2 linked regions of the Drosophila melanogaster genome follow. Changing the gene in region 2 together with the main gene of any one other region gives a genetic interaction. Each region holds a gene or a part of one and is shown on either strand. Other genes may lie near its edges. The genes, in order: Erk7 and RIOK2.

Region 1 (17,246 bases), on a different chromosome or scaffold from region 2:
ACGCGAGGAGCCCCAGCTGGAGCCCAGCCAGGCCCAATCGGAGGTGATTGCCGAAGCACTTAAGTGTCTGTGCAACTTGGTCTACCAGAGCTCCGACTGCAGGCGCCAGTGCCTGCGGCAACACTGCCTGGATGCAATCCTGAAGAGGGTGGCGTCCTCGATGCGACATCCCTGTGCGTTGGAGTACTACGACATGAAGCTCCTCTTCTTGCTCACTGCATTAGAGCCAGCGGCGCGCTCTCGCCTCCAAATCGATCTGAATGGCCTCACCTACATGACTAAGTGGCTGGACGACAAGCTGGGCGAAGACTCAGTTGGCGAGGAGCAGCTGAACATCATCTGCGAACTGCTCAAGGTGATGTTCAACGTGACCAGTGCTCCGGACAAGAGCCCCAACGAATACGAAATCCAGAGCTTGCATTTGACGGGAGTGCTGAGGGAGCTACTCCTGCGTTTCGGCGACTTGGCCACAGAAAAGGATCGCGCCGTCGTCACACACGCCATCAATCTGCTGACAAACATCTCCGGCAGCTGCCTGACAGAACTCACCCTGCGTTGCTCCAATGCCGAGTTGGAGTCGCACAAGGAAAGAGAGCAGGACAACGAGAAGGAAAAAGATACAGAAGCTGGAGCGGGAGCCAAACCCCGTGAGTGCTGCTCGCAGTGCTTCGAAAAGCGCAATGTTCGGAGTCTGGACGTGCTACTCCGCTACCTAAGGCAATCTCTGGCCCAACAGGAGGCCGAGGCTAGCTCGCATGAGTTGCTTTCCCCAGTGCTGACCGTGCTGGTGAAATGTGCGCGCAGCGATCGAGTTATGCGTCACTATCTACGCCAGGAGATTCTGCCGCCGCTGCGGGACGTTAGTCAACGACCTGAGGTTGGTCAGGAGCTGCGCAATCATCTGTGTCGGTTCCTTACACTGCCCGCGATGATCCTACGAGATCTGTCCGCCGAACTGCTGTTCGTACTGTGCAAAGAAAATGTCGGCAGGATGATCAAATATACGGGCTATGGCAACGCAGCCGGGCTCTTTGCCAAGCGGGGTATACTCGACTGCCGGCGAGTGGAGGGCACCGACTACTCCTCCGACAGCGAGGACAGCGACACCGAGGAGTACAAGCAGCAGCAGCAGGGCATCAATCCAGTCCTTGGCTGCGTAGAGCCGCGCAGCAAGTCGCATCTGGACGACATAAGCGAAGAGCAGAAGGAATACGAGGCTATGCAGCTGGTCAATCTCATCGAACAGCTGCGTCAGGGCGGGATCGTAAAGCCGGCGATGATAGACAAGGACGGGCGCCCGCAGCCGCTGGAACACATCCTTCAGCTGCAGGAGGAGCTGCCGCAGCAGCAGCTCGACCAGAAGCGGAAAACCTAAGCCACAAATGTATTGCGGGATCTGCTATGGCACAACTTCCAAATAGCTACCAAAAAATCACCTTAAACTCTGCATTTATTCCATAAGTTTACTGTCGAATGTAGCTTCGAATGTGTTCAAAAAGCAGATTTTTTTTTTTACATAGTTTATATATTTTATACCACATATTCGAGAACATCTCATTATAACCTACAATTTGTTAACCAAAAATTATCCAATCTGGCTTTGATTTCAGTGATCAGCTTTTGTCTAAATGCCATTATTATTAGTGTTAGCTAAAATAATTATAATCTATCCAATTAGCTTCAATTCGTAGATAAGTTCGGTCTCCCAACTTTTACAGAATTTCTTTAACCATTAACCATGTAGAACGTTGTACTTATTAAGTTATTACGCACTTCGTTGTTATTTTGTTGTCCCGTGAATTGTTCGCACTTTTAAAGTTGATACCATGGCATCCCATAACGTACGGCTTGAAAAAAATAACTAAATGCAAAACAATCGTTGGGGTCTTCCAATTTCAGGAAGTAGGGAGCAGATGAACATCAAATCTGAATTCATTTAAATACACGCCCACACTATAGGACAACTAGGACGACTTTTCATTTTAATAGTTAAGTGCATGTATGTATTATATTTATAAAATTCCAATTATACACTTAGGATCTAGGAATGAAAGCTCTTATTCCGATTCTCAGTTTTCTATTACAAATGATGTTGCATGTGTGTAACACTAACTATAGCTCTAGAATCGAACTAAACGAACTACAAAGTCTATCTATGACAGACGGCAGTGAGGAGCACTTGAAGAGCCATCAAGTTGTGGATGTCGACACGGCCATGCAACCAACTATCCCATCCGCACATTGTTCATGTCCATGTCTAATCTATGTTGTAAATTCCGCATAATAGGGTAAAGGAATAATTCCAAAACTTTCTAAAAGTTACGTGTCTTTGATCTATATACAAGAAATCCTATCTAGAGCTTTATTGTGTTCAATTTGCTATAGCGATGATACTAGTAGATCAACTTATATACATCAAAACATAGTAATATTTTTTGTGCGAGTCTAAATGTACGGCTATCCTAAGCTTAACAATAAAATAAATCAATCAAGGTCATGCTATAATAATCAAGCCACATATTTTCCGATTCATAATGCTTTGAAACTAAATTTTAATTATTAATATTGAATCAGAGTTATAAGGATCGACTCCTCTCCGGCGAGGAGTCCGCCTCTTGAATGTCGCCCTCCATGGGCCTCATGTGATCGAAGCGAGCAATGTAGCTGGGTTTGTGGTGGCGATGGCGGCACGCCTTGTGGCAGTCATTTGGGATTTCTTCTTGGTCATTCTGTTCCAATTTTCGGCGATACTTTTCCTCCTCCCTGCGCTCATCCAACCAAAACAGCTCGTATATGCGGTCGTGCCGCTGGAGTTCATTCGCTCGCTCCAGATCTTTTTCCTTCTGCTTCGGGGGGGTGTATTTGAGAAAGTAGTCGGCATACTTGCTGTCGTTGTCCCGCCCCGGGGAATGCACCGGCTCCGATCCGATCAGCTTTATCGAGTCATTCTGCTGATCCTTCGACAACGATTCATCCGCCTTCTTTTCAGTATGCCCACACACCTTTTCTTCTATCTTCAAGGGTTCGCTCTCCGCCTCAATGCGGCGGCACTGGTTCTCCTTTAGCTTGAGCTCCCGGTTAATCTGCCGCCTTTCCTCCCTCTGCAAAATCTCCATCTGCTGGCGATGCTCCGCTTCTGAGGGAAACCTATCCCTTGTGAAGTAGAACATGCTATGGTGTCTCTCTTTGGGTTTCTTCTCTTGGCACGTCTTGTTTGAGTAGCGATTCTTTGGAATCATACAAGAGTCCCATTGTATCATCCTTGAAGGGCTATCTTTGATGTTGTCCTTCTGGGTCTGAATCGCAGTTTGAACATGGGCCTTCGCTTCGGTATGGAATTTACGTTGAGACTGTGCCTGCGATTGCACTTTGCTTTTCTTCTGGCGAGCCGCGGCTGCCGCGGCCGCCACGGCAGCCAATTCCCGTTGGATCGCCGCATTTTTGTGTTGGCATATGTGCACAGATTTTCGCTGTGCAGCAGGAGCAGTAGCAGCAGCAGCAGGAGGAGCTGCAGCTGGAGGAGCAGAAGCAATAGAGGCTTTCTTAACTGCAGACTCCATGTGGTTGATCTCCTTCGACTGTGCCTTATGTGCAGAGCCCAGCAGCTTAATGTTCTTGCGCGACTGGGTCACCTCGACGGAAGATGGCTCCTTCTTCCATTCCGCCGGGCTCGTGGTCGATTGTTTGGCACTCATTGCAATGTGGTGGGATTTGGATGAGTTGAAAATTTGTGATTCGGCAGGCAGTTATGTGAATTATGTTAATATGTATGGTTGGGCTGGGTTTAGTGGGTCTGCTGTCATGGAACTAATATTACACTTAACTAAAGGCACACTTAGAATTTTGAATATTCACATTCTCATACCACACAGACAGGAATTTTTAAAACTATTGTGATTAAATGAAATTTGTGGTTCGAAATGAAGAATACTGACTGAGATACCGCCTCCAAATCGATCTAAATGGCCTCACCTACATGACCAAGTAGCTGGACGACAAGCTGGGCGAAGACTCCGTTAGCGAGGAGCAGCTGAACATCATCTGCGAGCTGCTCCTGCGTTTCGGCGACTTGGCCACAGAAAAGGATCGCGCCGTCGTCACACACGCCATCAATCTGCTGACAAACATCTCCGGCAGCTGCCTGACAGAACTCACCCTGCGTTGCTCCAATGCCGAGTTGGAGTCGCACAAGGAAAGAGAGCTGGACAACGAGAAGGAAAAAGATACAGAAGCTGGAGCGGGAGCCAAACCCCGTGAGTGCTGCTCGCAGTGCTTCGAAAAGCGCAATGTTCGGAGTCTGGACGTGCTACTCCGCTACCTAAGGCAATCTCTGGCCCAACAGGAGGCCGAGGCTAGCTCGCATGAGTTGCTTTCCCCAGTGCTGACCGTGCTGGTGAAATGTGCGCGCAGCGATCGAGTTATGCGTCACTATCTACGCCAGGAGATTCTGCCGCCGCTGCGGGACGTTAGTCAACGACCTGAGGTTGGTCAGGAGCTGCGCAATCATCAGTGCCGGTTCCTTATACTCAAGGCAATCTGGCACAAAAATATGGATCACTGCGGGTTTTTGTACGAAAAAACGTTCCGTCTTTATAAACCCAATAGAAGTTACAATATAAAATAGATAGAAAAGATCTACGACAAAAAGAATCTTCACTCATTGCATTCGCGTTTCAAAATATATGTATGTATATTGTGTCAAGATTGGGACAAATATTCTAGGACATATCAGTTGCTCTCCGGCAAGGAGTCCGCCTCCTGAATGTCGTCCTCCGTGGGCCTCATGTGATCGTAGGGAGCATGGTGGTTGGGTTTGTGGTGGCGATGGCGGCACGCCTTGTGGTGGTGAACTGGGAGTTCTTCTTGGTCATTCTGTGCCAACTTGCGGCGATATTTTTCCTCCTGCCTGCGATCATTCAGCCAAAACAACCCGTATATGCGGTCGTGCTCCCGCTGGAGTCCATTCGCTCGCTCAAGATCATTCCAATTCTGCTGTGGGGTGGTGTATTTGAGAAAGTAGTCGGCATACGTGGTGTAGTTGTCCCGCCCCGGGGAATGCTCCGATCCGGAATCGCGTCCCCCACTGTCCGGTGCGGGGTTGAGTTCTTTCCCTATTTCCTTATATGCTGTATAGTACTTAGCTCTGTAGGCGTGGTCCAGGTCGAGATTATCGTACTCATTGGTCTCGTCGCGGGCCAAGAACTCTTGCACCTGGCGCTGGCGCTCCTTTTCTTGCTCCTGGCGAAAGATCTCGTAGTTTTGGGATCCGGGACCACCAATGCCCTCCGGCAGGGCTCTTCTGTCATCCTCATCCTTCTCATCACTCTCCTTTGACCGCTGCAGCTTTTTCAAGTGGGTGCTAACGTTCGCATAGTTAAGCACATCCGCATTCAACTCGACAAAGTCCACCAACTCCTCCGTGCACTTCTCCATCTCTAGCTCCAGGTGATGGATCCGTTCGCGGACGCATGTGCCAAAGGTGATCGAATCCTTCTGCTGATCCTTGGACAACGATTCATCCGCCTTCTTTTCAGTATGCTCACACACCTTTTGTTCTATCACCTTGATCGTCTTGGACTCCTGTTCAGTTGTCTCCTTCAAGGGTTCGCTCTCCGCCTCAATGCGGCGGCGGTAGCTCTCCTTCAGCTGGAGCTCCCGTTTCATCTGTCGCTGGTACGCCCTTTCCTCCCTCTGCTGGCGATGCTCCGTTTCTGAGGGAAACGTATCCCTTGTGATGCAGGACATGCTATGGTGTTTCTTTTTATATTTCTTCTCTTGGCACATCTTGTTTGAGTAGCGATTCTTTGGAATAGGCGCTTTAGCTTCCGTCAGGCTCTGGGACTCTTGTATCATCCTCGGAGGGCTATCTTTGATGTTGTCCTTCTGGGTCTGAATCGCAGTTTGAACATGGGCCTTCGCTTCGGTATGGAATTTACCTTGAGACTGTGCCTGCGATTGCCAGCTGCTTTTCTTCCGGCGAGCCACGGCTGCCGCGGCCGCCACGGCAGCCAATTCCCGTTGGACCGCCGCATTGTTGTGTTGGCATTTGGGGACAGATTTATCACCAGATTTCCGCGGTACAGCAGGAGCAGTAGCAGCAGGAGCAGGAGGAGCTGCAGCAGGAGGAGCAGAAGCAATAGAGACTTGCGTAATTGCAGACTCCATGTGGTTGATCTCCTTCGACTGTGCCTTATGTGCAGAGCCCAGCAGCTTAATGTTCTTGCGCGACTGGGTCACCTCGACGGAAGATGGCTCCTTCTTCCTTTCCGCCGGGCTCGTGGTCGGTTGCTTGGCACTTGTTGTCCTGCGGGAGGGAATTGGATGAGTTGAACACTGGTGATTCGCCAAAATATGTGTGGTTGGGCTGGGTTAAGTGGGGCTGCTCTCATGTTACTAATATTACACTTAACTAAAGACACACTTAGAATATTGAATATTCACATCCTCATACCACACAGACAGGAATATGTTGTTAACCTAATAACAATAATATTAATATTATATGTTTCTTAAGACATATTTACTGCTAGTTTATTGTATTTTCAATTTAAACTATTGTGATAAAATAAAATTTGTGGTTTGAAATGATGAAAACTGACTGAGATGCACATAAATGTGGTTCACAAAGAAAGAGGTCCTTGGACATGAAGAATTTTTAGAGGATGATAACTATTAAGCTTAGTATTCTATTGACTATGGCCCTTTTTGAGGCGCATGCGATGTGCCTTTCGGTGCATGGAACGATGCAGTCGCTCCTTCACTGGGCGCTGAACTGTTATGGATTCCACGGATTCCTTCCGCTCCTTGAATGTCTCCTGCTGTAGGTGATTGGATGTGCTGGTGACTTTGGTGATGGCTCGATGCAATCTGAAAGAGGGGACGAGCAGCTAGAATAGCTCCTCCACTAGCCATCGCCCCACAAACGACTAAACCAGCCCTCTACCGCTTCCCCCCAACAACCGTCCCAGCCCAAGCCCCCAAAGATCCCCGAGAGCAGCTCACCTGGCTTGCTTCGTGACTCGCACGGGTTTTGGCAACTCGTCCCGATTGCTGGATGGCGTGGAATTGCTGACCGTGCGGTTACTGCAACTCGTCTCCCGGTCAATCAGTTCATACAGACTGTTGCGATACTGGTCCACGTCGTAGCGCACATGATCTTTCAGCGGCGGCACGACGTCCATGTGAAGATCCATCTCCGCCGACGCGTACTGGAAGCGACTCACATAAGGATGCCTTATGGCCTCCTTGGCTGTCAGCCGGTTATGCGGATTCAGCACCAGCAGGGCCTTCACCAGCGAAATACCGTCGTCGCAGCAGTTCTTCATCATTTCGTCCAGCGAATAGCGGCGATCGCGTTGGATATTCCTGCTCAGCAGGACGCTGCCGAAGCTGGGTCCAATCGAAGCGATGTCCAGCTTTGTCACATTCGGCAGGGAAGTCACAATCTTCTCAATCTGAAGCAAATATATATGTATGTAAATTTAAACCTATAACTATGAAATGGTATATAGATACTCTGCTACCTGATTGACAGTGCTAGTGCCTTGGAATAGGGGCTTCTGCCTGATCATCTCGCCCAGGATGCAGCCCAGGCCCCACATATCGATTCCCTTGGTGTAGCTGGTAAAAGGTAAAAGGCAAAGGGATATGCTAGTGTCTCAGTAAGTTCATGCAAGCTAAACAAAGCACCCACTTGCGACTGGCCACCAGAATTTCGGGGGCGCGATACCAACGCGTGGCAACATAATCAGTCAGCATGCCGTCCTGTTCCAAATCATCATAGATGCGTCTCGAGGAGAGGGTTCTGGCCAGCCCAAAATCAGCCACTTTGAGCCTGCAAATAGGGCAATGTCCATAGATGGAAATGGAGTCCACTGATGTTACTGAATTACTGAATTGTCAGTGGAATATTACCTGCATTTGCTGTCGATCAGGATGTTGCTGGGTTTCAGGTCCCTATGGATGACGTTGCCCGAGTGAATAAACTTAATCGCATTGATCAGCTGATACATAACGAATCGCTTGTGAACGTCCTTGAGGACATTGCCCCGCTTGATCACATTGTGCAGATCGCTCTCCATGAACTCGAACACCAAATAAAAGTCCAAGTTGTTGGAGGCCCTGAAGAGAATGCACATTATATACACGCATTTTAGAAAACAAAAAAATATCGAAAGAACTTACTTAAAGATATCCACCAGCCGAACGATGTTGGGATGGCAGCGAAAGGCCCGCAGGAATATAACTTCACGGTAGGTGCGCTGGGCATCGGTTTCGTCGCGGAAGGCATCAAAGACCTTCTTCAGGGCCACCGTGTTCTTTGTACGCCTGTCAGTGGCCTTCCAGACGATGCCATAGGCACCCTTACCCATGCGCTGCGAAAGACAAAGAAGTTATTAATCGTTTCGACCTATGATCACTTGACTTCAATTTAGTATAATTTTCCGTTCTCCGAACGAACTTTTTGACTTACCTTTCGCACATCGAAAATGCTTTCCACAGTTTGGTCCAGCTCTTGAATGCGTCGCTCTTGAGCGTGGGCAGTTTGATAGTTGGCCATCGTAGCTTGCTCCTTTTCACCTGTGCCCTTTGCTTATCCTTATCCCTATCCCTATTCCTATCCCTATCCGTGCCCCTTAACCTTGTGACCTCTTTTGCTTATTGGGATGCTGGGACTTATCCGGCAGTTGGTTTCTAGTTGGCCCGGTTGCGACTCTGGCAGAGCCCCGAGAACTCCAGCCCCACGTGGCAGCTTCGCTATGGACGATCAGAGTGGAGTGCGAAATTTATCAGTTAGCTGGCATTCACTGTGGCGCTGTTGCTGTTGCGCGTGGATGTGGCAGTGGCAGTGGCGCCCGAGTGGTTTTGCGGCTCCAACTGGAGCATCAGGGGCCCTCGTCCTCGCGTGCTTGCTCCCATATGCAAACGGCATCAAGTATGTCAAATAAAATGAAACGCCAACAAAAAGCAGTGCAAAAGTGCACAGTGAAAGAATAAAATCGAAATGTATGAGATAAAGTTAATGAATTAAATTCACACAGCATAGTACATTTTAATTATTCAAGAGATCCAGTCTTTAAGATATTCAAAATATTTGAAACATTTCTGTATTACTTTTTGATTAAAGCTCATCATTAGCCAAAGTATATACATATGTATGTCTGTATATACTCCTATACTAACAAAGATATTTCGATCATTGGATTGGAATAAAAGGGATAATGGCTTTTTCTCTCTCTGCATGCAAGTGCACCGGAAACGGAACAACGGCCATAACGGGAGCACAAATAAAAAGCGGGAAAAAATAGCAAGCGAATAAATAAATCGCGAGGCGGACCTGATTGAAACCGAATTATTGTTAGATCGATCGCGGGCAGAAGGCGAAAGCGAAAACGAGACCCCCAATTGGATGGCCTGGCAATGCCTACAGTGGACCCTCAAGTGCCCACGGCAACGTCATGTAACAATGCTCGGCTGCACAGTGAGCACTCGCTGCAGAGAACAATGCGTAAAGCTCTTGGATGCTTCAACTCTCATTTATAACGCGATTTATAAGTGTTCTTTAAGATGGGGTACTAAATATGTATGTATGTATATACGTAATATTCTTCAATAGGTACAGATTATTAACTATAAAGTAGTTATTACTATTATTAAAAACCTTAACACTAAATCTTCCCGAACATCTACTCTTTGGGATGCCTACTGTAATACTTTTATTGCGCCTACTTCAGCTATTGTTGCTGCAAGAAACGCCGCAAAACAATCAAATGGAAATACGTGGCATGCAATCTCGCTGAACGAAAATCAGCAACAAAGCATGGCAAATGAATTTGTTTAACAAATAAATAGGCACAAGTACACTCATATGGCAAAGGCCAGCACAGTTCAACAAAAATCGAGTTCGAAATTGAAATTCGCAAGAATCTGATCTCGAATTAAGCCGTTATTCCAAGGAATTCCAGTTTTGTGCTGGAAAGTAGGGAATGGACTCCGTTTGAAATGCAACCCTGGCGCATAAGTGGGCGCAAGCGCACATAATTTGATCTAGTAAATTTATAATATATTAATAAATCAAATAGACAGTGAAAGGTGTAAGGTTAAAATCTACTTTATGTCTGCCAGTGTAGCAGTGTAGCATCAAAAGCAACAGCCAAATCGGAGCGATTGAATTTGGCACAAAAGTTTTCAAGTGGAGCACGTCACTTACCAGTAAAAGGAGGCAGGATTCGCAGGATATGTAGAATGGTGGCTAACTAGGAGACGAAGAGGCCCGGCAACTTGACGGATGGTTATGTGAGTATGTGTGCCTTGAAAGTAAACTGGCAATTTGCACAATAAAAATAGAAAAAAAAGAACGATATAGTAACGAACGCAACGCGAATCAAAAGATGCAACCGGAACTGTAGGATGTTTCATATTAATTATATAGATATATATATATGTATATATATCGTTTGGATACACCAACCTGTAGGTACAGTCCAGGACCTTGAACAAGAAAAAAAATCTTTACTTGATACCGTTCCGGTGTTGTGCTCCACCGAACACAATATCTATATTACTTCGTCCGTTGAGGGCTTCCCACTGCCAACTCATGAAGTACTTCTTGAATTTTTTCGGCCCTTGTGGATTAAATCTAGCCGATTTAGCTTAGGATCAGCGGCCTCGACTTGACAATTTGTATGTTTCACTCGCAGACCACGCGCGTTTCAATTTGCACAGTTTTGGAAATGGAATTACAAGCATATATTAGATCAACGAATGTAGATGCGTATCGGAGGAGGACGAGTCCATATGGCGGCGGATGTTGGCCTGGTATCTCCCGGCACTCCGGCGTTCACGCTTCCGTTACGATTTTACAAAATAAAAGATTCGGAATCGAATAGAAAAAACGAGTGTACGTTCCTGGCTTGGAATCAGAAGGTCGTGTGTGATGTAGAAAAGTTCCGGACAACAACTGGCATTGTCGACAGTTCGTCTGGGGCAACAGTCACAAATCGCCTCGACTACTTGATTGCCCGGGTAGCCGGATTCGTTCAGACTCGCTTGAAATTTCGACTTCACTTGTGTGACCTGTGTGTCCTGACATCCCTTTTGGTGTCTTGCACCCAACTACAGCATGCCCACTCTACTCCATAGTTTTCCATCGTTTTCAAAGTCCTGCCGTTTCCAATGGTTGCCCCCCGCTCTTCATTTACCCGGAACCATTGTTTTGGATATTTACACCCGGACTCGGTGGCCTATTCCTATATGATCTTCAAAATATGTTGAGCGTAGAGTATTCCTTTTTTCATGACTTTGTTTAATGCATTAATATTAACCTATCTGAATGTATTACTTTATCTTTACCTTTAGTTAAAAAAAAAGCCAACAATGAAACCTAACAATGAACAGAAAACAAATCGTATATAGAAATTATAAATAACTTGAATCAAGCTAATAACCTAATAAAACTAAGGTGTGTGCTGATGTAATCCATGTGAATGATATCCACGGTAGAGCTAACCCAATGTATCCAACCCCTTTACGTGCAGGTTGCTATCAATAAATGCATATTTGATGCTTAGTTTTCAATAACAAACATGGGCGTACCGCCGATCCCGGCGCGTAGCAACCTACTTCTGGCCGGGAAGCGGACACAACAGCTGGCGAGCGTGTTATGCGGTTGCCAGGAGAAAGGCGCCACTAGAAACTTTGCGTCGGGTAAGTCCAAAGATTACTGGATTGTCGTAGAAAAATATTTCTTGGACATCAGTTTATTGTTATTTCTTGCTATGATTAGGGGATTACAAATCTATGGATTTTCCGGTTTATGCTGTTGTTGCTGCAACAGCTGTCGCTGCTGCTGCAACAGCTGCATTTGCAGTTGCAGTTGCTGAACATGATGTGGCTTCAAGTGCAGTTGCTGCAGCAACTGTTGTTGCTCCTGCTCCTGCTGTTGTTGCAACTCCTGCTGTTGTTGTAACTCCTGCTGTTGTTGCTGCTGCTGCGGTTGTTGCTGCAACATTAGCTTTTGCTTCTCTTGGTACTGTTTCTGCTGAGTCTGTATCTGTTGCCTCTGCTTCTCGAACTCCTCCAGTTGCTCCTGCTGTTTGAGCACCAGCTCGTCCATGTTGAGCTCTAGATGCTTGCGTGTTTCCTCGGCGGCGCGGCTAGGCGTAATATTCCACTCTTGCATTTGTTGCGGCAGAATCTGAGAGTGTAAAGGACTTTGGTGTTTAATTGGAGTCTTATAGTCTGGCCAAAAAATGAAACTAACCTGAAATAGGCGTTCGATGGCTAGATTAGAGCCACACTCATCGCTGCAGTACTTGCTCTGCGGCCTCGCATGGGAGCAGCAATTGGGTCCGTGGCACTGCTGGATGCCCTGTAGCTCCGGATTGAGGAATATCTCCGGACTGACCGCCCGCGGGCTCACCTGGACATTGGAAGTCTTGGGTGCCGCCTTATCCCGCTTCGTACCTGCTTGAGTCGGCTGCGACTCCTTTGGTTCTTGGGCGCTGCTGTTTTTGCGCTTCGCTGCCGCAGTGGTCGGTGGCGGCGCTTGCTGGCTGGTTGTTGCGGGCGCCACCGGTGCAGCAGCAGGCGCAGCTCCCGATGGACCTACGCCCGGGGCATTGAGACTTGTAGAGGCGGCGTTCGATGCGGCTGCACGTTCGGTGGCCACCAGGCGGAATATAGTCTGCAGTTCGGGATTCTCTTTTTTGCAGCGCCGGCAGTAGTAATTTTTGATGTGCTCAGCGTCCTTCTCGGTGATCTCTATACAGTCGCCGTGGTACCACTCCTCGCAACCATCGCAGCCTCTGGAAAGCGTAGTTGACAAGTGGTTAGGCGGGATCTAGCCCTTTAAGGCCATTCAACTCACATCATGAACCTGGAGCAGTCGGAGGAGCGGCATATGCAGTACTCACGGTCTTTCTGCTTAAGAATGGTGGCTATCTTGGACTTGCGCTCAGGCAAATCAAATTCCCGTGCGATCTCCCGCCTGATTTCTTCTTCCTGTTTGGAAATCTCCTTTGTAGCTAAAAATATGATTGCTGTGCAGCGTGTGAAACTCACGGTCTTCTTATCATTGTCCGTCATCTCGCACCAATCTTTCTGACAACTAAAGTCCAATTCCAAATCCGTCAATTAAGTTTCAGGGAATTTTTCTTTTTGCGATGGAGATTGTAAATGAACTGTATTCCTGGCTTTGAATCAGCAGGTCGTGTGTGATGTAGAAAAGTTCCGGACAACGACTGGCATTTTTGACAGTTCGTCTGGGGGAACAGTCACAAATCGCCACGACTACTTGATTGCCCGGGTAGCCGGATTCGTTCAGACTCGCTTGAAATTTCCACTGCACTTGTGCGTCCTGACATTCCTTTTGGCTCCCAACTACAGCATGCCCACTCTAATCCATAGCCTCCATCGTTTTCAAGGTCCTGCCGTTTCCAATGGTTGCCCCCCGCTCTTCATTTACCCGGAACCATTGTTTCGGATATCAAAACCCGGACTCGGTGGCCTATGTCTATATGATCTTCAAAATATGTTGAGCGTAGAGTATTCTTTTTTTCATGACTTTGTTTAATGCAGTAATATTAACCTGCATTATTAAAAAAAGCCTACAGCTTAAGAAAATGTATTTAATATGCTAACTTATTTTCTAGATTATTTCTAAATACAAACTAACAATGAACAGAAAACAAATCGTATATAGAAATTATAAATAACTTGAATCCAGCTAATAAACTAATATTAAGGTGTGTGCTAATGTAATCCATGTGAATGATATCCACGGTTGAGCTGGCCTAATGTATTAATAGCATGTTGCTATCAATAAATGCATATTTGATGCTTAGTTTTCAATAACAAACATGGGCGTACCGCCGATCCCGGCGCGTAGCAACCTACTACTGGCCGGGAAGCGGACCCAACAGCTGGCGAGCGTGTTATGCGGTTGCCAGGAGAAAGGCGACACTAGAAACTTTGCGTCGGGTAAGTCCAAAGATTACTGTCGTAGAAAAATATTTCTTGGACGTCAGTTTATTGTTAGTTCTTGCTATGATTAGGGGACTACAAATCTATGTTTTTTTCTGCAGGTATATAATTTGAGTTTTCTGTGGTATTTGGGCCTTCTTTTGCTGCTGCTGCAACAGTTGAAGTTGAAGTTGCTGCAGATGATGTGGCTTCAATTGCAGTTGCTGTTGCTCCTGCTGTTGTTGCTGCTGCTGTTGTTGCTGCTGCTGTGGTTGTTGCAGCTGCTGCTGTTGTTGCTGCTGTTGTTGTTGCTGCTGCTGTTGTTGCTGTTGCTGTTGTTGCTGCAACATTAGCTTCTGCTTTTCCTGGTACTGTTTCTGCTGTGTTTGTATTTGTTGCTGGTGAGCCAGGCGTCGCCTCTGCTTCTCGAACTCTACCAGATGCTCCTGCTGTTTGCGCACCAGCTCGTCCATCACCTCGTGGTTGTAGGTGGAGTGCAGCATCAGGCCGAGCAGGTTCGCTCGCGAGGTGAGCTGCTGCCGCATCACGCGCTCCTGCTCCATCAGGTCGTCCATCTTGAGCCATTGACGCACACGCTCCAGATCTATCTCAGCACGCCGGATCTTCTCCCAGGCGTAGTGCTTGAAGCAATTCTTCTTTGGCGCACGACAAAACTCGCCCGTGGGATTGAAGACGTTGTTCACTAAGGGCGAACCACACACATCCGTATCGTTCACCTTCGGATCCTTGCTGTGCTCCGGACACAATACTCTCAATCGCTTACAGTAAGTCTTACTTGCCGGATTGTAGAAATCACAAAACATATTGTTTCCCTCCATTCGCGTTTTGAATATGCTCCCGAAGCTGGCCTGCGATTCGTATTTGTTGAAGCACTTCTCCATATGCTTGATGGCAGTGCGCGAGTGAATCTCGTGGCCACAGGTGATGCAGTACATGCTCTGTTCGTCCTCCATGTCGGCGGTGTCTTGTGACCCCAATGTATCAATGGAGCTTCGTTTGGCTCGCTCCACCACCATGTTGAGCTCTTCGGAGCGCTTCTCTAGCTCGGCAAGTGCGAAACGCACCAGGGACTGCTTATGACGAATGTTATCAAGATGCTTGCGTGTTTCCTCGGCGGCGCGGCTGGGCGTTAGATTCCACTCTTGCAGTCGTTGCGGCAGAACCTGAGAGTGTAAAGGACTTTGGTGTTTAATTGTCATAGTCTGGCCAAAAAATGAAACTAACCTGGAAGATGCGTTTTGTGGCCAGATTGAAGCCACACTTATCGCTGCAGTACTTGCTCTGCGGTCTCGCATGGGAGCAGCAATTGGGTCCGTAGCACTGCCGGATGCCTTGTAGCTCCGGATTGAGGAATATCTCCGGACTGGCCGCCCGCGGGCCCACTTGGACATTGCGACTCTTGGGTGCCGCCTTTTCCCGCTTCCTACTTGGGCCGGCTTGAGTTGCCTGCGACTCCTTTAAGACCGTCGCCGCCTGGACAACGCAGGTGCGGAATATGCAGCGCGGCTTGTGGCCCACGCGAACGCGGCACGCGTCGCACTGGTTGCAATTGGGACGCCGGCATCCCTCACAGGTACCACAACGTTTGCCCATCTTTGGTTCTCGGGCGCTGCTGTTTTTGCGCTTCGCTGCCGCAGTGGTCGGTGGCGGCGCTTGCTGGCTGGTTGTTGCGGACGCCACCGGTGCAGCAGCAGGCGCAGCTCCCGATGGACCTACGCCCGGGGCATTGAGACTTGTAGAGGCGGCGTTCGATGCGGCTGCCCGTTCGGTGGCCACCAGGCGGAATATGGTTTGTAGTTCGGGATTCTCCTTTTTGCAGCGCCGGCAGTAGTACTGTTTGATGTGTTTAGCCTCCTTCTCGGTGATCCCTATACAGTCGCCGTGGTACCACTCCTCGCAACCATCGCAGCCTCTGGAAAGCGAAGGGTACAAGTAGTTAGCCGGGATCTAGCCCTTTAAGGCCATTCAACTCACATCATGAACCTGGAGCAGTCGGAGGAGCGGCATATGCAGTACGCTTGGTCTTCCTGCTTTAGAATGGTGGCTATCTTGGACTTGCGCTCAGGCAAATCAAATTCCCGTGCGATCTCCCGCCTGATTTCCTCTTTCTGTTTGGAAACCTCCTTTGTAGTTAAAAATATGATTGCCGTGCAGCGGGTGAAACTTACGGTCTTCTTATATTTGCGCTTGTCCGTCATCTCGCAGCAATCTTTCCGACAACAAATCCAGTCCAAATCCAAATCCGTCAATTAAGTTTCATGGAATTTTTTTTTGCGATGGAGATGGTGAATGAAAGGATATCGATAGCCTACTAATAATGTATTGCAGACAATCGATAGGTTCTGGCCTAATAAAATATATAATATTTAGCATAAAACTACGTTGTAGATTTTAATTGATGTATGACTATACAATAAAAACAATTTTAGGTATTTATTGTAAGCTGTGTATAAATATAAAATGCTTCGTAACACTTATATCGAGAGAACTAATTCCATAGTCTTAATAACAAACGATAGTGTGTTCGAGATCTATGAGATTAAATAGAGTTCTTGAAAGAGAAACAACGTGAATATAAAACCTACAAAAGATTGTTACTTTATATATACCTAATTTTTATTTTTCGATAATCTTTAAGATTTTGCCGCGGCCCAGTATTTTCGAAGTTTCGTAAAATTAAACATCGATAGAAAAATTAAGCATCGAATTACCACTGACATTGTCGGCTTTTTCTCACCTCTAATAACCGCGCGGTTTTTTCTTTGTATTTCGTTACCATTTTTTCTCAACTGAACTGAATTGAATGTGAATAGTCTGCAATTATGGCGGCCCTGAGCAACCTAAAACAGTGTCCGCCGTTCTCCACGCTGCCGGATCTGGCGCTGCGGCACAATCACATCCCAGAGCTGGAACGCTATCCGCAGATAAACCTGAACAGCGAACTTCTGGCCAATCCGGCTGGTCAGCGGTACTACGGCGGACAGAGCTTCGTATCTGTGAATGAGGGTGTCCTAAAGCGCATAGCTCGCAGCTTCTTTAATGGCGGATTCTGGAAGACGCTGGAGGAGGCACGCAGCCCAGAGACCAGGGAGCAGGCGCCGCTTATTGCCCAGGCGGGTGATTTAATCGCACAATTTCTGGGCCTGGCCACCGGCCTGAGGATCCTCCCGCACACCCAGCAGCTTAGTGCAGAGCGTATTGCTCAGTTCGTGGAGACCAGGTGGGTGGGGCGCAGCCAACTGACCAATAATACCTAAACCTTA
Region 2 (13,526 bases):
ATCTTGGCACTTGAAAACTTGTTTAACTATTTTCCTTCTGGGCTATTCTGTTTCGAAAATCCTTGTGAAATTCAAAGTTTCCGACTGATTATTATAAATACGTAGAACGTTAAATACTAGGAAATAAAAAACGAAACCATTGTAAGTCTGTAAATAGCTTAACTATCCGGCTCAACTATGCAAATGGATGGACGGCAGATGGATTTATGGGCTGTGAAGTAGATTAGTTTGACGCGAGCACGAGAGCGATCTTTAGACGCCACGTCAGCACCATTCGGCATGAATTACGGCGGGCACACTTACATCATATATAGGAACGTGCACCGATTTGCGAGATGTGGGGGTGTTATCTCACCCTGTCAAGTGTCGCGCTCCGAGATCTGCTTCTATCTAGTCAGCTTTAGATACTCACGAATCTCTGTCGTATGAATCGAAATCCACGGGCAGCAGCTACGTAATTGTCTGAGCCAGCTTGCTTTACGGCTACCATAATGTGGGATCTGTTGTCGGCGAGATTGCGTCTTCCGGCTGCCTATAAATGGGGCCTTCGACTGGACCAAGTGATCCAGAACACAAGTCGAGCATCATCATGGTGGAGCAGGGCAAGGAAGACGCTACCGAATTTCATCCGGCGCCAGAGTGGCTAGATGAAACCTACTTGGAGCGACTGCTCCGGGATTTGAAGAATGATCCGGGACTGAGGATCACCGATTTGGTGATCAAGCCCGCCACTGCCAAGGGTGACAATTATGCTAGTGTGATGACACGCGTGCGGATTTTGTTCTTGAAAAGTGGCGCCAAAAGCCCCGAGACTGAATACTATATTGTGAAGACCACCTATGAGAACGATGCCTTCGCCTCTGGAATATTTTCCCAGTACCAGGTTAGCACCACGGAAATGCGTATGTACGAGAAGATCCTGCCCCAATTGAGCTCGCTCATCGAGAAGACTCGCCAGCCGGAAAAGGTTTTCGCCAAGACATTGCATGTGGACTACGAGCACGAGGCCATCATCTTTGAGGACCTTGCGGTGACGAAATATGTCCTGGCCGATCGTCTGGTTGGTTTCGATCTGGAGCACACCCGCTTGGGACTCCGAAAGCTGGCCAAGATGCATGCGGCCGCTGCTGTTCTGAACGAACGTCAACCCGGATTGCTGACCAAGTTCGATCACGGCATCTTCAATCGCCACACCCAGGCCTTTGCACCCTTCTTTGTGAATACGGTGGGCGTGGCGGCTGACTTTGCCAGGGAGTGTCCCGAATTGGGTGAGCGGTATGCTACCAAATTGAAGAAGCTGCAGGAACGTGTAATGGAGTACTCCACAAGAGTTTACGATCCCCAACCGGGAGATTTTAATACATTGGTGCACGGTGACTACTGGGTGAACAATGTGATGTTGCGCTACGGCGAAAATAAGGAGCCACTGGACATGACTCTCATCGACTTCCAATTCTGCAGTTGGTCCTCGCCGGCGGTGGATCTGCACTACTTCTTCAACACTTCGGTGCAGGTCGATATTCGCTACGAACAGCAGGATGCCCTGTTTCAGTATTATCACACGGTGCTCGTGGAAACGCTTAAGGATCTCAACTTTGGTGGCTACATTCCCACATTGAGGCAGTTCGTCCTGCAGCTCGAAAGGGGCAGATTCTTTGGTGAGTCCCATCTGGAATGATTTTCAAAAACCCATTATAATTGTTTATATTATTGTATCTAACAGCTGTCACAGTCGCTCTGGTCTGCCAGGCCATATTGACCAATGACCAAAACGCCGATGCCGACTTTAATGCTTTGATGAAGGATGACGAACGAGGCCGTAACTTCCGGAAGGTATTGTACACCAACAAGAGGTTGCAGGACAATCTCAAACGCGAGCTGCCACGCTTCGATCGGAGTGGTCTACTAGACGTAATTGACTGAATGGAAGCCATCATATACTACGAGTATTTGATAAAAAATAAAAACAAATTTTATTTTGAAGTTAAAACCATATGAAAAGCAGTTCATTTTTATTGCAAGTTGGTAAGCAATAAGATTAGAAATAGAACACACAATGGTTCTATTGTAAATGTTTGTATTCATAAAACTATATTAAATGTGACGTTTTAAAGCAAACGATAAGCGGGCCAACGGTGCGTATGAGTTATAAGGGGGACGCAACAATTCACTTACAAGTTTTTTCCTCAGTAGTACACCTTGACTTGTTAAATACATTCGTATTCGTATTTATTTGTTGTAGGTAAATATTAGTTTCTTTTATTAGCTAAAACATCTGCGGCTTATCTTTTGGCGTATCGCGATTGTTTCTATTTCACCACGATTCAAGGGCTTGTAATTGTTATCTTCTGAGATTTTTAGTATTGCTTGCACCTTTTGTTTGTCAAGAGTTTAGCACTATCTTGCCGAAATAAACTCGAAAGCGCTATTATCAGTCATGAACACTGTATTTCATATAAAAAGGTCAGTTATTGCCGAATTACACACATAAAGTGCAATCAAGCTATTAGATAAGTATTTTCCCAGGAAATTAAAAGCAACGACGTAGTTGAGCCAATACGTAGTAGTACTTAAACTTTTATTTATTTTAACTATTTACACAAGTTCAAGATTATCATTACATGTCATCCAGCAATCCAAACTGATCCAGAAAAGGCAGTGTGACACTTAATTTCTTTTTTATATTTTCCGATTCATAAACTGAGTTCTTGAATCGCATTCCACTCTCGGAACTGGATAGGACCTGCTCAATAGAAGCATCCTCTTTGCCCTCGTACTGCATGACAGGCTCAAAAATCAAGGAACAGAATACGGCTGCGGATAAATTATTTAAAAAACTATTTTGAAAGAGAGTTAAGAACTGTACCCACCATAGAATCCTCTCGAGCGGAACTGCAGTTGGAAGTCGAACAAGCTGGGTATCCGACCAGCATATTTTAACTTCCTTAGGGCCTCCGTCAGCCTATAGTAATAAAACTGAACCAATTCTGTTTGATGTTCCAAGCGAAGATTATCCTGCAACGAGGTGGAGAAGAAGTAGTGGAGATCGATGGCCGGCGAGTTCCACACGCTGAACTGGAAGTCAATGAAGATGGCATTCGTGGGATGCTCTTTTGCATCGTACTGGAACATAAAGTTGGTGGTCCAAAGATCTCCATGGGCCAGAGTTAAAAAGTCGCCAGGACTACTAGTCGTCGATCTTTCGCCATAGTCCATCAAACGTTCCACAAGCCTGTCGATCTTGGCCTTGTACCGCTGTCCCAACTCCTCATCCGAAGCAAGGGAGCGGGACAGAGCCTCCAGAAGATTGGTCATGATCGGGGCGTATGCCCGGGTGTGTTTGTTGAAAAAGCCACGATCATAGTTCTTGTCGAAGATACCCGGCTGTCGCTCGGCGAGAACTGATGAAGCTGCATGAAAGAGGGCCAGTTTCTCCAGTACCAGGTGGGTGTGTTCTAGGTCCAGCTTCTTTCGACGGCATGCAACCTTGTAATGATCCAGTGACATGTCCTCGAAGATGATCGAGTCCCTTTCGCGGTCCACATTCATGGTGGCCGCAAAGAGCTTCCTGGAGTCTTTAAGCTCCTTCCTCACCATATCCGCCAGCTGGGGAAGGATGTGCTCGTATATATCCATTTCACGGGTGTAGACACCATAGTGGATGAGCACATCGCCGGCTGGATCCCGGTCAGCGAATGTGGTCTTAACCAGAAATGTGGTGGACTGTTTCCCTTTCGATACCTTGGTCGTGTACTCCACATTGATGCGGGTCATCACGCTGCCGTAGTTTCCTCCATTGGCCACGGCTGGCTTTGTATCCAACGTCGCCAGCTTCAGTGAGCTATCCTTGAAGTAGGTGCGCAACTTATCCTGCACATATTCCGAGGTGAGCCAAACTGGCGCTGGGTGAACTTTGTGGGTAGATTTCTCAGTCATGATCCTATCCGTAACTCAGGGCTTTCGCTTCTGCGACATTGCGAACGGAGTCCGACCACTTTTATAGCCAACTTTAGTGTATATATGATAAGTTTAGTGCAAGTATCTCGTGGCAACTGGCTTCGTCATGGACAAACAACACTTGAACAATTTCGAGTCTGGTCGAACGCTCACGTTTTTTGCAATGCACTTTTTATTAAGTATTCCTGGTAACCAAAATTTCGCAACTTATCACCATATACAGATTCATCGCAACAAATTTATAATTAATTCATTTTGTTTTACATTTCCCAAAGAAGAGAAATACAACTTAATATTTTTTATTGTTTGTTATCGAATATCGTAAAAAGTAAGTGAATTAATTTAGTGGGTTGCCTTGATAGTTTTTCCAAGAATTCCCCCGTATCGTCGTCTGTAGCTAATTTTAATGTCAATATCAACAAAAACAATTAGAAAACTTTTTAATACGGATTTTGTCCCGTTTTCATGTTTTCTAAACATTTACCTACAATTAGCACCTGTGAATTGTCATTCATAAGTGCATACACAATTAATAAAAGTTAGTAATAGCAGGGAAAGTAATCGAAATTATTTTGTATTTATTATATTTTATAAGCAAATATAAAATCTATAATTACGATAATAATATTACTATTTTCGCTTTACATCACGTCTAGTAAACCCAAATGATCAAGAAAGGGCAAAGTGAGACGCATCTTTTTCCTGGTCTCCTCCGCCTGAAATGCGTCATCCTTAAAGCGCATTCCCTTCTCCGAAAGGGATATTATCTGATCCATTGATGCCTCTTCCTTGCCCGTGTACGTCATCGTTGGTTCAAAGATCAGTGATGCGAAGGCAGCTGAATGATAACATAAATGAATATAAATTCCTTAACCAGGCACGTTAGTATACCCACCATAGAAGGATCTGTTCCTGAACTGCTGATGGAAGACGAATAGGCTCGGAACATTTCCGGAATACTGGACTTTCTTCAAGGCAGCATTCAGTTTGTAATAGTAGAACTGGACCAGCTCTGGCTGTTTCTTCAGTCGAATATCAGCCTGCAAGGCCGTTGAAAAGAAGTAGTGTAGATCGATGGCCGGCGAGTTCCAAGCACTGAACTGAAAGTCGATAAAGATGGCATTTATGGGATGTCCTTTGTCGTCGTATTGGAACATAATATTGGTGGTCCAGAGATCCCCGTGAGCCAGGGTCAAAAAGTCACCGGGAACAATGGTCGTCGATCGTTCTCCGTACTCCATTACGTTCTCCACCAGTCGATCGATCTTTGCCTGGTAACGCTGACACAGATCCGGCTCCAGCTCCAGGGATCGGGACAAAGCCATCAAAAGATTCTTCATGATGGGCTCGTAGCCGCGGGTATGCTGGTTAAAGAATCCACGATCGAAATTCTTCGCAAAGATTCCAGGCTGGCGCTCAGCCAAGGCTGCTCCGGCAGCATGGAAATTGGCCAGCTTCTCGAGTACCAGATGAGTGTGCTCCAGATCCAGTTTCTTGAGCCGATCGGCCACTCTGTAATTCTCCAGGGACATATCCTCGAAGATGATCGAGTCCCGTTTCCGATCAACATAAACAGTGCCTGCAAATAGTTTCCGGGAATCTGCCAGCTCATTTCGCACCACTTCCGCCATCTGGGGCAGGATGCGCTCATACAGATCCAATTCCCTGTTGTACACTCCGTAGCTCAGGAGAACCTGCGCCGCCGGACCTGCGTCGGCAAATCTGGTGGAATCTGGTGGATTGTTTATCCTTTGATTTATCCGTCGTATACTCCACATAGATGCGAGTTATCACGCTTGAGTAGTTCTCCCCGTTGCCAAGGGCCAGCTTGATGTCCAGGTTCACCAGGCGGAGGGAGTCATTTCTAAAGTAGGAACGCAGCTTCTGCTCCACATAGTCGCGAGTGAGCCAAGCGGGCACCACTTGTGCGCTTCTATTGATTTCCTGGTGATCAACACTGCGGATTTTTCATCGGTGGGGTTCCGCTTTTATACCTCGTCGGTTAGGTAAGTACACATTTATTATTCAAGTCTTATCTATCATTCTATCTGACATTCCTGTTATCTTTCAATTCAACCATTTGAATTAGCTATTAGAAATCGTCATTGAGCTTATTACATACATATCCATTTGATGCCAGCGAACTACTAGAAATTTCTAAACAATTAATTGCTAAAAATAACGAAACTATTTTTAAGCTAAATTTCTAGGTAGATAGCAGTGATAATTTGATTAATTGACTTATACTGATAAGGAGCATTTATTTATTGTGTGGAGCATTTTCTTACATTTCGTCTAGTAAGCCCAGTTGATCAAGGAACGGCAGAGTCAGGTGCAACTTTTTTAGGTTCTCCTCCGTCTGATACACTGCATCCCTCAGTCGCACGCCCTTCTCATCGCTGGTCATGAACTGCTCTATGGACGGCTCCTCCTTGCCATTGTAGACCATAGTGGGCTCAAAAATCAACGACGCAAACACAGCTGAGTAAAATAAAGAAATTAAAAATTGTATAACATTTTATATACTTCGCAAACTTACCATAAAAACCTTTGGTCCGAAACTGCTGTTGGAACTCAAATAAACTCGGAACCTTACCCGAATATTTCACCCTTTCTAGAGCCACCACTAGTTTATAGAAGTAGAACTGGACCAGCTCGGTCTGACGCTCCAGACGAAGGTTTTCGTGGATCGAGGTTGAGAAAAAGTATTGCAGATCGATGGCCGGAGAATTCCAAACGCTGAACTGGAAATCAATGAAGATGGCATTAACTGGATGACCTTCGTCATCGTACTGGAACATGACATTGGTTGTCCAAATATCTCCATGGGCCAGAGTCACAAAATCGCCGGGAGCGACAGATGTCGATCTTTCGCCGTAGTCCATTACATTATCAATTAACCTGTCAATCTTCGCCTGGTATCGCTCCTTTAGATCCGGACTCAAATCGAGGGTACGCGACAAGGCCTTAAGGATATTTTTCATGATGGGCTCGTAGCCTCGTACATGTTTGTTAAAGAATCCACGGTCGTAGTTCTTTTCAAAGATTCCCGGTTGCCGCTGAGCCAGAGCTGCCCCCGCTGCATGGAAATCTGCCAGTTTCTCAAGAACCAGATAAGTGTGCTCCAGATCCAGTTTCTTCACCCTGCACGCAACCTTATACCTCTCCAGCGAAAGGTCCTCGAACATAATCGAGTCCCGCTCACGATCTACACCCACAGTAGCTGCAAACAGCTTCCGAGAATCGTGGAGCTCATTCTTCACTATATCCGCCAATCGGGGCAGTATCTGCTCGTACATGTCGATCTCCCTGGTGTAAATGCCGTAGTTGATGAGCAAATGGGCCGCCGGGTCTTTGTCGGCGAAGGTCGTCTTCAGCAGAAAGGTTGCGGACTGGTTATCCTTTGAATCCTTCGTAATGTACTCCACACTGATGCGGGTCATCACGCTGGCGTAGTTCTCTCCATTCGCTGTCGCCGGCTTGATCGTCAGTTTCTTCAGATTCAAGGTGTCATTCTTAAAGTAGACTCTTAACTTTTTCTCCACGTACTCCTCTGTCAGCCACGCGGGCGCATTGTGGGTCGTTTTCTCCGGCATAATGTTGAAATTCTACTAGCTTTCGTCAGAGGTGGGCATGGCTTTTATACACTGACGAGATGCTCATGATTAGATGAGACGGCACAGAGCGTATCTCATGAGTCGTAAGCTCCTTAATTGCCGGCAATTGAAAAGATAGGCGACAGCACATCTGAAAAAATTTATTAGGATAGGGCTCTGCACTGTGTGAAAGATCATAGAATAGCGACTGTTGTTCAGCTAGGCTAACTAGCTAGACCAACTTATAAGTAAAAAAAATAAAACTTCACATATCGTCTAACAACCCCTGCTGATCCAGAAACGGCAGAGTGAGTAGCATTTTTTCTCGGATGTGGTCAGCATGATACACAGAATCTCTGAACCGGACTCCACTGGCGGCAGTGGACAATCCTTGTGCAATAGACGCTTCCTCAGTTCCGGTGTAAAGCATGCAGGGCTCGGAAATCAGTGAGCAGAAAACAGCTAAAAGAATTTCTTAAATTAAAATTTATTTTCACTATAACTTGCATATACTTACCATAGAAAGATCTAGCCCTAAACTGCAGTTGAAATTCAAATAAGCTCGGAATACGACGCGAATACTGTAGTTTCTTCAGAGATTCCACCAGCCTGTAGTAATAAAACTGGACCAATTCAGGCTGATGTTTCCAGCGAAGATGGTCCTGGATCGAAGTGGAGAAGAAGTAGTGCAAATCGATGGCCGGAGAGTTCCACACACTGAACTGAAAATCAATTAGGACGGCATTGATGGGATGACCCTGTTCGTCGTACTGAAACATCACATTTGTTGTCTAAAGATCCCCGTGGGCTAGGGTTAGGAAATCTCCTGGATTGGTCAATGTCGATCGATCGCCGTAATCCATTATTGTATCCACTAGCCGGTCTATCTTGCTCTGATAACGATCGTTTAAATACAAATTCAGCTCCAGGGAGCGAGATAGAGCCTGTAGTAGGTTCCTAAAGATTGGCTGAAAGCCTCGAAAATGTTTGTTAAAGAATCCTCGATCGTAGTTCTTCTCAAAGATTCCAGGCTTTCGCTCGGCAAGAACTGCTGCAGCTGCATGGAAATCAGCCAGTTTCTCCAGGACCAGATGTGTGTGCTCCAAATCCAGTTTTTTAAGCCGGCAAGCGACTTTGTAGTCCTCCAACGACAGGTCCTCAAAAAGGATTGAGTCCCGCTCGCGATCTACATTGACGGTAGCTGCAAACATCTTTCGGGAATCCTCGAGCTCGCCCCTCACCATTCTGGCCAGGTTGGTTGTTGTTGGTACATGTCCATTTCTCTGATGGAAACCCCGTAGCCGGCCAGTATATTGGCTGCCGGATCCTTGGCGGCAAAGGTGGTTTTCAGTAGGAAAGTAGCGCTCTGAGTGTCCTTTGAATCCTTTGTGCTGTACTCCAGATTGATGCGGGTCATCACACTGGCGTAATTATCTCCTTTTGATGTAGCCGGCTCAGTCTCTAGTTTCTTCAACTGTAGAGAGTCGTCTTCAAAATATCTGCATAACTTATACTCCACATATTCCTTTGTGAGCCATTCAGGATCGGTATGGGTATTTTTTTCTGACATTATGGATCCGAACGTTAGCGCTATAGTTTAAGCAGTGAAGACAGTTTGCGATATTTCCCAAAGTCTTATCATCTTAATTACGACTAACTACGCTAATCCCTCTGGTTAGGGGCCCCCAATAAAATCGTAAAGTACATTTTATTCAGAGTGTTAGCATTCTTCTTACTTATGTAACGTAATCGTTTGTACAAATTTACATGTCATCCAGCAATCCCCACTGATCAAGATACGGAAGTGTTTGCTGAAGCTTTAGCCTGACGGACTCCTGCTGGAACACATCGTCTTTGAATCTCATACCACCTTTGCTCTCCGAAATGATGTGGTCCAGGGAAACCTTTTCTTTTCCATCATACACCATAAAGGGTTCAAAAATTAGAGAAGCGAACACAGCTGTAAATCAGAGTAGATTTGTATCAGATCTTAAATATATATACTTCTCTTTTTTTAGTGCATCCCTCAGTTTGTAGAAGTAGAACTGGACCAGCTCTGGTTGATTGTTTAGGCGGAGCTTGTCATGGATGGAAGTGGAGAAGAAGTGAAGTGAAGATCGAGGGCTGGTGAGTTCCACACGCTAAACTGGAAATCGATGAAGGCAGCATTAATGGGATGTCCCTTTGCACAGATCTCCGTGATTGAGAATCACAAAATCGCCATATAGCCTGAAGCTCATCTCGCTCCGACTAAGTTAAATACCCTAGATAGAAAATTAATAACATAAAGTATGTTATAGTCAATTTTAATATATTTTCCGTTTCTCAATTACTTTTATATATTTTCATAACCATAACCCATTATTATAAAAGCTATCATCTTATTAAATCATTTTGGCGACTCATGAAAATGCCTTTATTATTATTTATTATTATTATTTATTTATTACCTAGAGTAGTTAAAACACAATTTGCGATGTCTTGATGAAATGTTTTAATTTTAAATATACATATCACTATTTTTATTTAATAGATTAACATGATCTAGAAGTCCCAGCCAGCATACTCCTTAACCACATCCTTGTTCTCCTTGCGATGACGATGCACAGCACTAGCCTCTCCCTTGGCCACACACTTCTTTCGCTGCTCCCGCTTCTCCTTAATGTCCATGTTGCGTCGTATCCGGTCGGTAATCACAGACGGAGCTATTGTGCTGGTTGTGGTAGAATAGGAGCGTTGACTTCTCGCATCATTTAGCATTTGCTCGACCATTTTGAGACGATACATGCGGGAGTTAGGATCCAGGCCAACTAGCTCGGGAACTTCATCCGTATCTAAATCATTGGAACTGATGGACTTGACGTCTTCTTCAACGGTATTAGTTGCCGAAGTTTCAGCTTCGAATGGAATAACGTCTGGAGTTTCAGCCGGCAGGGAAATGTCCAACTTTTTGGGCATTGTTTGATCGGGAACTTCTGGACCTACGCTGAGATTACCCAGATATTGCGTACACGATTCAATGTACCGACGCACTGCGTCATCCGACTTCTGAGTGGGCTTGGCTTCGCTATAAATGACTTCGTTCTCCACCTGGCGTCGGCACTCGTCAATCTCTACAGATGCTGCGGTAACCAAGGTGGGAGGCTCTTCCTCCTCTTCCAAATCCTCTCCCTCATCCTCCTCATCTGCCTGATCCACCATGCCGTACTCCTCAAGAAGATCCTGCTCCATCTCCTTAGTGAAGCCATAGCCTGTGCAATGTACCTCGGCATCCAAATCATCCTCACGCACCAGGTCGCTGAACTTGGGGTAGTCTTCGCTTTCGTAACCAAATTTGCGACGGAACATTTCACGCACGCAGTTAACATCGCGTTCGAAGAAACTAAAATATATTTTTCTATTAATACTTGAATACTATAATCACAAAGAAAGCTTACAATTCTGCATTTTCATGCGAGGTGGACATCATCTGAGGGAAATCAATCAGTATGGGCTTGCCGGCGTCTGTCACCATTAAATTAAACTCATTAAAATCGCCATGAATAACTCCAGAATTTCCCAGACGCACAATAAGGTTCATAAGATCATCGTAAACTTGTGGAGCGTCTAGAAGTTCGTGAACTTGGGTCCTATAAAAATGATATTCAAAAATACGAATAATGATAAAAGTGACTAGCTTACATGGGCCAGCCCTTGACGAGGTCCATTAAGACGCAGTGGCGGTTGAAATCGATGGGTTTTGGCACTGGAAACCCACGATCATAGAGTGCCGACATGTAGGCAAACTCGCGGGTAGCCGAGATGCGAGATAAGTACAACCAGGAGGCCTTGTGTCGGCGACCGTGGTAGTCTCTTTTGGCTTTTACATTCCTGAAACAAGTTCGACCCAATCGGTGTAGTTTGAGGCAAATTGGAGTGCCCTCCTCATCAGCCACCACGTAGATGTTGGACTCCTTGCCAATTCCAATCTGGTTGCCAAAGGAACTGACCGATCCCCGCAGTGTGAGAGACTTCAGAGCCAGATAGTCGTAGCCCGTGTTTGTCAAGCGGTAGCCATCATCTGTGAGCCAATAATTGTTAATGACCATAAAAACTTCAATCTGCAGCCATACATACATTTCTTTCCCCGTTCGTAGGCCAATAGCTTGTGCTTGCACAGCTCCTTGAGCAGCTTGTGGACTCCACCCGACTTCAGATTCGCAATGGCAGCAGCCAGGGGACCAGGGACCAGCTCGTGGTTCTTCATGCCCATCTCGATGGCGGTGAGGACGCGGAAGTCCTCTTTGGTGAGATATCGCAGCACTGTCACGTTTAATTTACCCATTTTCGTTCTATTTTGACAGTTTAACAACGCATTTAGCAATGTTTTCGTTTCACACGTGCAGGCACGATAGGTGGTGAGAAATCGGTATGCATCGATTGTAGCAAGAGTATCGCTTATAATTATATCATTTTCCAACTACCGAACATTGTAATGCAACTGGTGTTTTACATCCCGGTCCGGAACGGTCACACTGACCTGCACATCGTCATCAGGAAGAGACAAAATCGGGGAAATGGCTGGAGATGATCTGATTGCGAAATTCCAGGCGCTCGGCATGAGCGAGCAAAAGGCGAAGGAAACTTTGAAGAATGCCAACGTGACAAAGAATCTCCAGCTGTCGCTGGCGGCGGCGGGAAGCGCCACCCTATCCGACGGCACTGGTATGCTGATCTACCACATGGCTACCAAGCTGAAGCCGCAGACTGCGGACCATCTGCCTCTTCTGGTGCGCTACATAGTGGAGCACAAGCTGGACAACACTCAGCGCGTTGATGCCGCCCTGGAGTACCTGCTCAAGTGCGGTCAGAGCCTGAATGCCAACATAGATCTGCAGGCGCTTGAGAAGGAGTGCGGCGTTGGAGTGGTGGTCACTCCGGAGCAGATCGAGCGCACTGTGCAGGCCAAGATCAAGGCCAGCTACAAGGAGGCCTTGTTGGAGCAACGCTACCATTTTAACTCTTTTAAAATCCTGCAAGATGTCCGGGGAGAACTCAAGTGGGCGGATGCCAAGTCCGTGAAGGCGGCCATCGATGTGGAGATCTTCGATCTGTTGGGTCCCAAAACAGAAGCAGACTTGAAACCTCAGACAAAAGCAAACGATAAGCCGAAGGCTGCAAAACCGAAAGCTGAAGTAACTCCTGCCGCTCAAACGGCTGAAGCTGCATCCGATGGAGCCACCACCATTTCGGAACTCATGAAAACCAAGGTACACTTCCATGCTCCCGGAGAGAACTTCAAGGCAGATGGCTACGTGGTCACCGAGCACACGGAGCGGCTACTAAAGGAGCACCTGGCGAGAACTGGAGGCAAAGTGCACACACGATTTCCGCCAGAGCCGAATGGCATCCTGCACATCGGTCACGCAAAGGCTATTAACATTAACTTTGGATACGCGGCTGCCCACGATGGAGTCTGTTACTTGCGCTACGACGACACCAATCCCGAGAAGGAGGAGGAGAAGTTCTTTTTGGCCATCAAGGAGATGGTGGAATGGCTGGGCTACAAACCATTCAAGATCACCTACTCCTCGGACAACTTCCAGCAGCTGTACGAGTGGGCTGTTGTGCTGATTAACAAAGGATTGGCCTACGTGTGTCACCAGAAGGCGGAGGAACTGAAAGGCTTCAATCCGAAGCCCAGCCCTTGGAGGGAGCGTCCCATTGAGGAGTCACTTCGGCTGTTTGAAGACATGAAGCGTGGAAAGATCGACGAGGGAGCGGCCACACTGCGCATGAAGGTCACCCTGGAGGAGGGCAAGATGGACCCGGTGGCGTATCGCATTAAGTTTATCTCACACCACCGTACGGGCTCTGACTGGTGCATTTACCCCACGTATGATTATACTCATTGCCTTTGTGACTCTCTCGAGGATATAACCCACTCACTGTGCACCAAGGAGTTCCAGTCGAGACGATCCTCCTACTACTGGC

Evidence for each region.
Region 1: of RIOK2 (region 2) and Erk7, changing one suppresses a phenotype caused by changing the other (phenotypic suppression), as found in Drosophila melanogaster (one study listed by BioGRID).

What each region holds. Positions count from the first base shown.
Region 1 is NC_004354.4:9,256,709-9,273,954, forward strand, and holds Erk7 (extracellularly regulated kinase 7), read right to left. Parts: upstream 10,991-17,246; 5' UTR 10,472-10,990; intron 10,404-10,471; 5' UTR 10,211-10,403; intron 8,758-10,210; 5' UTR 8,561-8,757; coding exon 8,474-8,560; intron 8,376-8,473; coding exon 8,185-8,375; intron 8,122-8,184; coding exon 7,915-8,121; intron 7,835-7,914; coding exon 7,694-7,834; intron 7,621-7,693; coding exon 7,524-7,620; intron 7,455-7,523; coding exon 7,003-7,454; intron 6,868-7,002; coding exon of another isoform or gene 6,687-6,867; exon of another isoform or gene 6,575-6,686; intron 6,305-6,574; coding exon 4,729-6,304; 3' UTR 4,668-4,728; downstream 1-4,667. Other genes in the region: ric8a, read left to right, coding at 1-1,375; CG17440 (uncharacterized protein), read right to left, coding at 11,798-12,196, 12,263-12,806, 12,869-13,002, 13,063-13,086; Cfp1 (CXXC finger protein 1), read right to left, coding at 14,067-15,146, 15,208-15,895, 15,958-16,181; aladin, read left to right, coding at 16,806-17,203. UniProt on the Drosophila melanogaster protein: Atypical MAPK protein that regulates protein secretion in a kinase activity-dependent manner. In response to starvation regulates protein secretion by mediating transitional endoplasmic reticulum site disassembly.
Region 2 is NT_033777.3:25,264,258-25,277,783, reverse strand, and holds RIOK2 (RIO kinase 2), read right to left. Parts: upstream 11,941-13,526; 5' UTR 11,878-11,940; coding exon 11,670-11,877; intron 11,614-11,669; coding exon 11,235-11,613; intron 11,183-11,234; coding exon 10,991-11,182; intron 10,972-10,990; exon of another isoform or gene 10,936-10,971; coding exon 10,098-10,935; 3' UTR 10,027-10,097; downstream 1-10,026. Other genes in the region: CG10513 (uncharacterized protein), read left to right, coding at 590-1,658, 1,724-1,923; CG11878 (uncharacterized protein), read right to left, coding at 2,618-2,814, 2,871-3,936; CG11889 (uncharacterized protein), read right to left, coding at 6,242-6,438, 6,497-7,553; GlnRS (Glutaminyl-tRNA synthetase), read left to right, coding at 12,110-13,526.